Caenorhabditis elegans: one gene and its partners. The protein of the gene in region 3 interacts with the protein of the main gene of each other region in a biochemical or structural test. Each region holds a gene or a part of one and is shown on either strand. Other genes may lie near its edges.

The links.
Region 1: of the proteins of akt-1 (region 3) and daf-16, one has a biochemical effect on the other in vitro, tested with the Caenorhabditis elegans proteins (2 studies listed by BioGRID).
Region 2: of the proteins of akt-1 (region 3) and osm-9, one has a biochemical effect on the other in vitro, tested with the Caenorhabditis elegans proteins (one study listed by BioGRID).

The regions. Positions count from the first base shown.
Region 1 is NC_003279.8:10,748,843-10,752,596, forward strand, and holds the start of daf-16 (Forkhead box protein O), read left to right. Parts: upstream 1-1,655; coding exon 1,656-1,667; intron 1,668-1,720; exon of another isoform or gene 1,721-1,729; coding exon 1,730-1,813; exon of another isoform or gene 1,814-1,863; intron 1,864-2,051; coding exon 2,052-2,142; intron 2,143-2,195; coding exon 2,196-2,346; intron 2,347-3,576; exon of another isoform or gene 3,577-3,715; intron 3,716-3,754. UniProt on the Caenorhabditis elegans protein: Forkhead-type transcription factor. Binds to the promoters of genes that contain the daf-16/FOXO binding element (DBE), TTGTTTAC, in their regulatory region.
Region 2 is NC_003282.8:3,555,734-3,559,487, forward strand, and holds the start of osm-9 (Ion transport domain-containing protein), read right to left. Parts: upstream 1,699-3,754; coding exon 1,557-1,698; intron 835-1,556; coding exon 686-834; intron 632-685; coding exon 501-631; intron 454-500; coding exon 362-453; intron 315-361; coding exon 7-314; intron 1-6.
Region 3 is NC_003283.11:10,246,781-10,250,534, forward strand, and holds the start of akt-1 (Serine/threonine-protein kinase akt-1), read left to right. Parts: upstream 1-2,124; 5' UTR 2,125-2,175; coding exon 2,176-2,279; intron 2,280-3,074; coding exon 3,075-3,183; intron 3,184-3,257; coding exon 3,258-3,446; intron 3,447-3,491; coding exon 3,492-3,653; intron 3,654-3,698; coding exon 3,699-3,754. UniProt on the Caenorhabditis elegans protein: Acts downstream of PI3 kinase age-1 and kinase pdk-1 in the daf-2/insulin receptor-like transduction pathway.

The DNA of each region.
Region 1 (3,754 bases), on a different chromosome or scaffold from region 3:
TGATCGTTTTCAATTGAAAATAGAACGTAGCAAATTGAAAATAGTTTTCGTCGTGTTTTTTGAAAAGTTATTTTTTTGTGAAAAACATGAGTGTTTTCTATGTTTTGCATGTTTTCTGCTCTTTTTCAGTTATTTACAAAATGCAGCAAAAGATTGTTTAGAAAGATTGAAAAGACTTAGCGCGTATAGTTTGATCTATTGGTGGGGGTGGAGTCAGTGCATCTAATTTTACGCGCAATTTTATTATGAAAAAAAAAAAAAAAGAAAAAAAAGAAAAAAAAATTTCTTTGAAAAGCAAAAAAATTGCCAAAAATTGGAGATTAGAAAACTTTTAAAAAAAATCGGCAACTCTATTACGGGAACACAAACTTGTGAGAATGCGTATTTCACAACATATTTGACGCGCAGAATGTCTCGTAGCGAAAACTTGACTACTCTAACGCTTATGTCGATTTACGTGCTCGATGTTCGAAATCCTTTGATTTAATAAAATTCATCTCGAAGATCGAGCCCGTAAATCGACACAAGCGCTACAGTAGTCATGTTTTCGCTACGAGATATTTTGCGCGTAAAATATGTTTTGCAATACGCATTCTAAAAACTTTGTGTTCCCGTAATAACCAAAGTGCTTCGAAGTTTTACGAGAAAAATCCAATTTTTTGGAACTATTGTTAACGACATGTTTAGAAAAAGGTGTTTCTTCAAAAAAAAAGAAGGAAAATTGACAGAATTTCAAGGAAATTTACAAAAAAAAATCGAATTTTAATTACATTTCTGCTATATTTATGAAAAAAATTCGTAAGAAACTGTTATTTTTCCTCAAAAAAAAAGAAAAAAAAAACCAAAATTAATATTATATACTTTTAGAAAAATATTTTTTTTTTCGAAAAAATATAATATATTCTCCAAAGTTTTTCCAGCTCAAAGAAATTTTCGCCTTTCTTTAATTAAAAAATTTGAATTTGAAACCTTCATATTTTCTGTACTTTTTCGTAAACTCCGGTGTTTGCACAGTGTAGATTTACGAACTCTGATTTTTTTTTCTTGAAATCATTTTTTTACCAAAATCTTCTCTCACGATTTCCTCTCTTTAAAAAACTCATGTTTTATTCCTAATAGTGAGTTCGTTTGGGGCGAGCTTGCTGCTTTTTCGCTTTATATCTTCTTTTTTTCGTTTCCCCTTTTTCTTTTCCGTCTCAAAGTTCATAAAACAGTTTTGCACTTTCTCGTAAACAACTCTCGCATGGGGTCGCTCAGAAGTTGATCTCTGAAACCTCTGTCGCCGGCCGCCAACCAACGAGAAAAAAAAGCATTCCCAATGTCCTCTTTTCTATTTTTTTTTTCTTCATATTATTTCTCAAGGAAAGACATATCGGTTTACTTTTCCATCATTTGACGAGAACATGTGATGGAAAAAATGGTGGAAAAGTGGGCAAAAATGGATTGTGATAAGAAACTTTTTTTTTGCAAAAAAATCTTCCTCTATACACATTTTATGTCAAAATAAGCTTCTTCTCTCTCTCTTTTTATCAGTTCGAGACGTCGGAAATGTTCATTTTTAGTTAAGATTTCAAAATTATCCAAAATAAAAACGTTTCATTTGAAATTAATTTCCTCATTGTAACTTCTATTCAATTTCTATCTGTATTTTAATGATGCAACTCGAGGTTTTTAACATTTTTTGCTTATAATTATGATTCTAAATTGAAAATCAAACTAAAATTTGCAGCAAAAGTCTTCATTACATTGCTCGAAGTGCCGAAATTTTCTGCAAAAATTCTCACAGGACATGCAAGCGTGGAACTGTCGTGAGGTATGGCGCCGCATACGCAAACACCTTGCACACACATCGAGAACTACCGTATACTCGCAGTTTAAATTTCAAATTTTCGAAATTTTTTTCCAATCATTTTTCCCTATTTTTCTTCATTTCGCTGCTAAAAATAGTTGTTTTGAACCCGATTTTGTGCGAAATCGTGGAAGTTTACACAGCTTTTACAGTTGAAAATCAAAAAAGCGCGCTTTTTTCGTCTAATTTGCCCAGTTTTCAGCTCGATTCGCCGCTACCATCTGACATCACACTGCACAATCTCGAACCGGCAAGGCCTGATTCCGGAATGAGTTTTTCCACTGATTTTGACGGTAAATTCGTGATTTAAAGTTGTAAATTCCAATTTTATTTGTTTTTTTTTCAGATGATTTCTTCAATCTCGACCTCCATCAACAAGAGCGTTCGGCTTCTTTTGGCGGAGTAACCCAGTATTCTCAACAATTTCTTCGCGAAAAATGCTCGTTCTCTCCGTATTTCCACACATCTTTAGAGACTGTTGACAGCGGAAGAACTAGGTACGCCAAATTTAAGATTTTTAGGTGGTTTGTGAAGGTTCATAAAAGTCGAATTGCACTAAAAGCATTGTTTCGTGGAAAAAGGACAAACGCTATAAAAGTTGATGATTTTTGCCCTTTTTATCAATTTTTGAAAGAGTTTTGGCTTGTGAACAAGCCTCGGTTTTAAAATTTCAAAATTTCAAAATTTTAAATGTTTAAATTAAAAAAGAACAAAAAAATATATAGAAATATATATATATATGCCGAATGGCCTTGAATTTTTCTCAATTTTAGGTCTCAGCTGACCTTTTACTGTTTCTGATTTTTCAATTCTTGTGGTCGTGTCGCGTCATCTTTTATCTGTCACATTCGCTCTGATTTTTGATCATCGAAATTTCTTTTTTTCGTTACTCTTCCAATTTCTCCATTTTATTTCCGATCGGTTGGCACAATCAAAAGTGATTTCTCTCATTGTTGCTGACCTCGAGATTTGTTTAAGGGAAAACCCTTTGATGTCATCACTGTTTTAGTTGTTTTTTGTTTCTAATCATTTAACACTTTTTCGTCTTTTATAGGCCAACAAGCCTATTGTCAGCTGTTGGTCCACTAAGCACACGGGAAATTCACGTGCATGTGAGGAGGAGAGGCAAATAGAATTTAAAGGGGTTTCCCCGATCTTTTGACTCTTTTCTCTCTTTTTTTTTCTCGCGGAGTTGCAGTTTGCAAACAACTGGTGATTAGGTTTTCTATTTTCTCTTTTCTCTTTTGATTGCTTGGAAATTAGATTTGATGCAAACTTTAATATCATGAGTTTCTGATTCAACTTTTTTAAAGACAGAAATCGTATTTTCGTTCTAAAAATAATTTCTCTCTACAGTAACCCCATTTCTTTTAAAAACCGTCGTCGCCCGTCTCAACAATTACTCACCATTGTGTGCAACATTGTATACGGTGTGACGTTCAGAGGTCGAAAACTGTCACGCGTTTGCTCCCTCACTGTATTGCCAGACAGAGTCTCTCTGTCTCTCTCTCTCTGTTCTGTCACATCAGCTGTTCTTCTCTCTACGGGAAGGAAGCACAAAATGGCAAACATTTGAAAGAAAGGGAGAGAGCAAGTGGTATTTGAGAACGGAAAAGTGCACTTTTTGCACACTGTTGTAGCGGGGTTTTTGATTAGAACAGACGATAGGTCGAAAATCAGAGAACAGAAACGAAGTACCTATTATGGTTCCATTTTAGAAAATTCAAATTTTCGAAATAAGGAGGTTTTTGGCAGAACTGGTAATTCCTGTATGATTTCAAATTTTTTGAATCAAAAATTAAAACAGAAATGTAGGAAAATCATATACCTTTATTAAAAAAGCTTGAAAAGTTTCAGGCAACGCCTGAAAGTCGCTTTTTTTATATTTGGAATTTTTAACTAACT
Region 2 (3,754 bases), on a different chromosome or scaffold from region 3:
ACTTACGCTACTATAGTTAATAACACACATGTGGAGAATAGTATTTCCAAAAGAGTCCTGGAGATTCGGGTTGGCACCGAATTGAATCAACAAATCGTAGATATCCTTGTTTCCAAAACAAGCGGCAAATGCTAGGGGGTACTCCCCGTAATAGGCATAACCTTGATAGTCAGTAATCTTATTAGTAAGCTTAAAGTCTTCGGGTAGGAAGAAGTTTCCACAGGCGCGGGCATTCACGTCGGCCTTGCTATTCAGAAGCAGGCTTACGGTCTCGTAGTCATCGTGTACAATGGCTAGGTGGAGGGCTGATTGGCCTAAAGATAACACAATGTTTCAGGCCGCTTCAAAACAAGCCGCTTACCAAATTGCTCATCCCCCAAATAAATGTCATTAGCCATCCCAGGGAACCGCTTGAGCAAAATCCTGGCAATTTCGTAGCAAACTTGCTGTTCTCTAGAAGTACACATATTAAAATTTTCTATTTTCTATTGAATTTTTACCTGTTCAACAAAAGATGGATCAAATTTTCGCCTTCCACACCTCTCTTGTTCAGTTTCCAAAGTGCGTAATGCTCCTTGAACCGGCTCTGCTGCATGTCCACGGACTCTTCGCTGAGCCCGAGTTGCACGTTCTGGAAGATTTAGAAGTTTGAGAGTTTCTGTGGAAGTTAATAGGGGGAACATACCACTCCCTTCTTCCATTTGATATAATCACTGTAGGTGACAAGTTTTGGATTCTGGCCCTCATCATAGAGAATTGTGAGGAGTTTCTCTTCTGCAAATTTTAGGACGCCTTCCTCACCATCTCGCTCGTAAATGTTGATCAATTCTCCGCCTGAAATGAATGTTTAAAAAACTATACGTAGATCTTCAGATTTTTGCATTTCGTTAGATAAAAATTATGTTTTTCGTTTGTAGAGTTACGCCTCACCACAGGATCCTGGGTCATGGTTAAAGATCTGGGTAAAGGTGCAAAGCTCAGCACTGAGTAAAGTTAAAAACTTGAAATTTATTAATTAGTAAAATGTTCAGGGTGTTAAAACTTATAATGTGTTAGTTGATCACGTCTTAATACCACCTACTACAACGGAACTATGCGCCTTTAAAGTATGGGCCACATTGTGAACCTTCAGCATTGTTCCCATAAGCCAATTCTCAAACGCTCATAACTCCGCGGTGAGTTGAGTTATCAAAAAATTGGCAGATACCAAAATATTTGAAATTTCAAGATAAATAATTTGTTAGCGCACATTTTTTTTTGATAAAATCTAACACAACGGAGTTATGCGCCTTTAAAGTATGGTACACAAAGTGTTGGCAGTACTCCCTCCATTACCAACATTTTAAAACCGCATAACTCCGTGGTGAGTTGAGTTATCAAAAAATTGGCGACTATCAAAATTTTTTAAATTTTAAAATAAATAACTTGTTAGTTGATTATTTTTTAAAACACCACCCGCTGAAAAGTTATTGGCAACCCCAGGCTTCTTTATCGTCGAACGCTATAAGAGAACTAACAAAATGCTCAAACTTTCAGTTTCTATTAAGAAGACTTGCCTTTCCTGACAGCGACCCACTTGTACAAGTGATTCTTTTCCCTTTCTCTATACAAGTTCGACCATTTCTCATCGGGGTCAAACGCGAGCTTGACTCCCTCGCCACGTGGTTCGGTTTTGTTTCGCGAACTTCCACCGCCCATGTTTGGTTTCTGAAAAAATTGGAAAATTAAAGAGTTGGTGAAAAATTGATAATATAGACAGCGAGAGCCAACTCCGCCTTCTTAGTAATACAAAAGTTATATGAAATTTGGAGGTGAAGAACAAATTTTATACTTTCGAATAATACTATAAATGAGTATGAATATGAAGATAAGAAAATTATATTTTGATCAGAACAAAATCAGAGAGAGAGAAAGAAATTCTGAGAACACGGGAATAATTTCCACCTGCTTTAAAGGATCATGTCATACTTTTTGGGTCCCACAATTTGGCTAGCGGAAGTGTGTGTGTGTAGTAATGGAAGTGAAAAAGCGTATATTTTCGCAATTGACGACGTGGATTAGTCACACCCCATGAGACACACCTTCAGGCGGCGCCGAGCAAGATGGAAGGAAACGGGTTGAGTTAAGACAATAAATTGAACTTTTTGCTTCAACTCTAAAGCACAGTCCGGATGAACATAAAAGGTAAACAACTAGTTTTTAGTACATGAAATAATTTTACGATATTCAAAATTTTGAAAATTTCGTTAATTTTCTCAAAGCATTCTTGCAGCGGTAAGTGTGATCAAGCAGTTGTGTGCTTACACATTATTTATCTCAAAATTTTAAACATTTTGTTAGTTGCCAACTTTTTGACAACTCAACTCACAGAATATTGGGTGAAGAAGGAAGCGCTGCTCACTCACTTTGTGTCCCATACTTTAAAGGCGCATAACTCCTTTGCGGTAGGTGTTATCAAAAAATTGTCAACTAACAAAAAGCTAACCTTCACGTTTAAAACGTGCAATTTTTTTGATAAATTTACTCACAATCAGTGCAGAGTTATAGGTGCTTATGAAGTTAAGGGTAAGGAACGAGTGTCGTCTCTTATAATGTGTCCCAAACTTTAAAAGTGCATAATATTTGGCATTTGGCATTTGGGTCTATACACCAAATGTGCTAAAGTTTTCAAAAAAAATTGTGACTGAACTAATAAACACGTCAATTAATTCTAGAATGTCCATTAATCAATATTATGTATACAAAAATTTGCAAAAAAAACTATTAAAGTCTATAAGACTACAACTCAAAGCAATACTATATTTCATAAGAGCAACCCCACTTAAATCAATAATCTTAGTGACCTGACAAGACCTGCTCTGAAAATTGATTGAAAGCAAGTGCAGTGAGAGTGCTAGAGCATGTTCTAGTTCTGAGAATTTTGAAAAAGAAAAAAACGTGAGTGGAGAATTTTATTGATTAGTTGGATACATTTCGAGATACAAGTCCAATTTGAAACTTATCTAAAGAATAAAAATGTTGAAATATTTTGTAGCCGGATTTATTCCAATAGTTTCCTACTGATATCTCAAATTTTCAGGTAGGCTAATGGAATAATATCTACATTAGTTTTTTGACATGCTGAATCCGTTACCTATATTAATTTTTCACAGGAAAGTTCGGAAATTTTCGAAATCCCACATATGAAATGGGCTCCATTGCTATATTCTAGGTATTGCTTTTTTTGGGTAAAGAAGTGAGAAAATACGATCTCGATAAAAGTTGAATTGCCAGAGTACTGATTCTCAAAAACCTTTTTAAAAAAGGGGCGCTCACTGTTTTTTAGGCTAACTAGCAAGTTTCAAAATATACCTAGTTACCCGTAAAGTACTCCCGCGAGGAATTCAGGTTGCGCAACGTCCTTCTAGTGACTGGGGGCCGTGCGCAACAGATAATCGTACGTTAAATACGATTTCCTCACTTTGTTTGAGTTTTACGAAAAACATCGCGCGGTTTTTGCAGAGTTTCGGTAAGTTTTCAGGGTGACCCATAATAGAGGCTCGGCATTTAAGAAGGCCGCCAGTGGCGTCCACAGTGCCTATCCTTCCTTAAAAAAAACTGCATTTTTGTCAAGAAATCGGGTTCGCGGACGCCTGGGAGCAAGCCTCGACTTTCCTAACAGGCCTAGAGTTAAAATGCCTTAAAATGTGCCTCTAAGGCTGACGGACCCTGAAGGGTTAACTTTAATGTCGATATTATCAGTAAGCATCTCAGT
Region 3 (3,754 bases):
CATGGCCGAGAAGTTCGCTGTGTACTTCTCGTGGACAAAAGCAACTGCTAGAGAGAAAACAGTTTTTTGCAACATTTTTGTTGTTTTTTTGTTGTATTTTTCGATTTTGGAACTCGCGCGCGTGGGAGTTTATTTTTATTTTCAGAATATAATAAGCTTTCATCACTCCCACTCCTAAAATACTCTTAAAATTCATATTTCTTTGTTGTTTCATTCAGATGTAAATTAGTGTTCTCCCCTTAAATTTTTTCCAATAATATTCACCTCATAAAAAGCAGGGACAATTCATTTTTTGCAATTGTCGCGAAGCCTCTTCGTTTTCGTTTTGGGATGTAAACAACTCTAGCATGTACTATCTCGCTCTGTCTGCGGCTCGACGCCGCGCCTGTTCCCTCTCTCCGTCCGGCGTCACCGATCATCCATTCCGCGAAGCAAAGCACGCGCGGCCTTTGATCGAAACGTGCACTTTTCCGTACTGCTGTATACTACTGGCAACACCGATATTCGTGCCCGATATCTAACTCAACCGGAGTCTGGCAACACAACCGTTTTTTTTTTCGTTTTCGAACGTTCCTGTTTAAAAAAAAACGTTTAAAAAAGCTTTTCAATGCTTTCAAAAATTAATTAGATAGAAAAACTTTGTTTTCTATTTTTTTTTTTTTTTGGAGATTTCATCAACAACCCACATACTTTCTCTTTTTCCTTCATCAAGTTGTTTGTATTCGTCTCAAGACCGTCAGTTCAAGACCCGGTCTAACCCTATCGGCGCCTCTGTTTGTTGCTTTTCCTTCTTATTTTCCGGTTTTTCTCGCGTTCACTTAATCAAAAAATCATGGCATTGAAACCACATTCGAAGATTTTCTAATTTTGTTACTGAAAAAAAATCTGAAAAAGTGTCTATTTTTCAAATATATTCCCAATTTAACAGTTAATTCGTTATTATTATGTCTCTAATATATCGTTCCGATCGATTAAATTTAGGCACGTTCCGTCTGCGTCTTTCCACGTATGTGCTCCAGTTCCGCTCCTTCTCCCATGGCGTAATCACCCCGCTTTTTTGTATGTTCGTATGCCAGTCGTGGTGCATAATAATCTGTTTCTCTTCGAAAGCTCAGACAAGAGGCAGTGGCCTAATCACTAACTGCGAAAAGTGTATCAAAACCTCTCCTCTTGTTTTTACGTGATGATAATCCGCGTGGTTCATCTCTTCCTTTCTCATTCTCCGTCTCTTAATGTTTTCTCACGATTAATTTTTTTTCGTTTATAGGGTTTCTAAAGTGGCTTATAATTCAAGAGAAATTCTAGAGAAATAATAATTAACATGATTTCCGTAAATTGAATGCCTAATAAGGTTGAGTTAAAAACCAATAATTAAAAATAAGTCGTTTTTGTATATTTATACAGCCGTAAAATGGTTCTCAGACTATTGAAAATTTATCAACTTCAACCAATATGGTCTTTTTTCGCTTGTATACTTCGGCTCTCATAGTATCCCTATTCAAAAATTGTTTGCCGTTAATTTGTTATTCTATTTCACGTTGTTTTGTTGATTTTTCGATAACAAAAGTGCTCGTACATCACAGGTAAACTTTCTGTTTGCATGTTATACAGTATCGATGTGTATAAAATGCCAGAGATCAAAAACTTGAAATTTATGATCAGTGGCATGGTGTTATCGTAGAAATAATCTTGTTTTCCAAGCGGGCAATTCCAGAAAACCGATATTTTCTTTCTTATTTTCCACTGGTTGTCCGTTCCCGTTATTTCTGCTTCTCCTATCTCTTCCTTGTTGGAAAACAAAAAACCACAGACGAACACTCAGAAAACGATATTCTGAAGCAGCAGCGTTACTCATGATGTTGTTGCTGGGCAGTGTCTGAAAATGTTTTCGTGTTCTTGTTTCCGCTGAAATAGGGTCACCACCTCTTTTTTCTCTAAACTCCTATGTCTCTCTCTTCAAATTCTGTCAATTTCCGTCCCTCTGCTTTGTTTGTCACAAAACTCTCTCGTGTGTTTTTTCGCTTTTCTTTTTTTTTATGTTTTCCTTCATTTTCGAATTAAAAGTGTTAAAACTGATTTTCTTAAAAACATAATGAATCTCGATCAAAAAATATTCTAATTTTCAGTCGAAGACGTTACTTCTCCCGAAAGGTTTACGACGGCGCCGGTGAAAGAATGTCGATGACAAGCTTGTCAACGAAGTCTCGAAGACAAGAAGATGTTGTCATTGAGGGATGGCTTCACAAGAAAGGAGAGCACATTCGAAACTGGAGACCAAGGTTTGATTTTTCTATCGGTACTGATCATATATTACCACTGATTCGATAATTTTTATGCTCGAAAAAGTTAGTTAATGATTTCACATCAAAATTTATCTTGAAAACTCCGATGAGTCTTGTTCTCGTTAATCTTTTTATTTTTGTTTTCTACATAAATTCATATATCCGCTTCATCATATACGTCAACTGATTTGTTTTTGCCGCGCACTCGCTCTTATCATGCTTTTCCGGCTGAAAAATCTTCATAAACGTTTTTATGAAGGGGGAATGATGTGACTTCCTGGTAGAGCAGATGATTCTATGTTTGCTACGCTACATAGTACAACTATTCGCTTCAGAATATAATTATTTTCAAACGACTGAAATTAACCGAAAATTAAAGATATCTATGAAATATTCACGATTGCTAAAAACGTATATCATTTTCCTAACAGACAGTACATTGAAAAATTGAATAATAGCAACACGGAAGTGAAACTGTTGTGATTACAGAAAACTCAAAAAATGAAAAACACGATTTTGTGCAGTATTTTTGGATGGTTTTTTTGTTTTTGAGTGTGCATGTCTTCTATCCATAAGTATGTCACCCTTCTCATTTAATGTTCCAAAATAATAAACACATGTGAACGGCGAGTGAGCGATGCGAAAAATAATCAAATTGAAAAAAGAGAGAATGAGTGAGTGCGGAAGTTGAGAGTGACTGAAAACATTTTAAAAAGAAACTCGTCAGAGTGACATAACAAAAAAAACAAAGATGATAAAAGATTGAAAGTTAATGACGTAGAATAATTTCAGATACTTCATGATATTCAATGATGGAGCCTTACTTGGATTTCGAGCAAAGCCTAAGGAAGGACAACCGTTTCCTGAGCCATTGAATGATTTTATGATCAAGGATGCAGCGGTAAGTAGAGATGAGCTTATTTTTCTAAACATCATTCTGCAAAATCATCTACTTTTGCAATATTTTATTTTCAGACAATGTTATTCGAAAAACCACGACCTAACATGTTCATGGTAAGATGCCTTCAGTGGACAACTGTCATTGAGCGAACATTCTATGCGGAGTCGGCAGAAGTTCGTCAGCGTTGGATTCATGCTATTGAGAGCATTTCAAAAAAATACAAAGGCACAAATGCAAATCCACAAGAGGAATTAATGGAAACCGTAAAAATTACACCTTGATCCAGCTTTTTTGAAAAATTCTTTTAGAATCAGCAGCCAAAAATTGATGAAGACAGTGAATTTGCTGGTGCAGCGCATGCAATTATGGGTCAACCATCTTCGGGACACGGTGATAATTGTTCAATTGACTTCAGAGCGTCTATGATTAGTATTGCTGACACCAGCGAAGCTGCTAAAAGAGACAAAATCGTAAGAAAACCTATCTGATAAAAACCTTTGCAAAAAAAATTACAGACAATGGAAGATTTCGATTTTCTCAAAGTGCTCGGTAAAGGAACATTCGGAAAAGT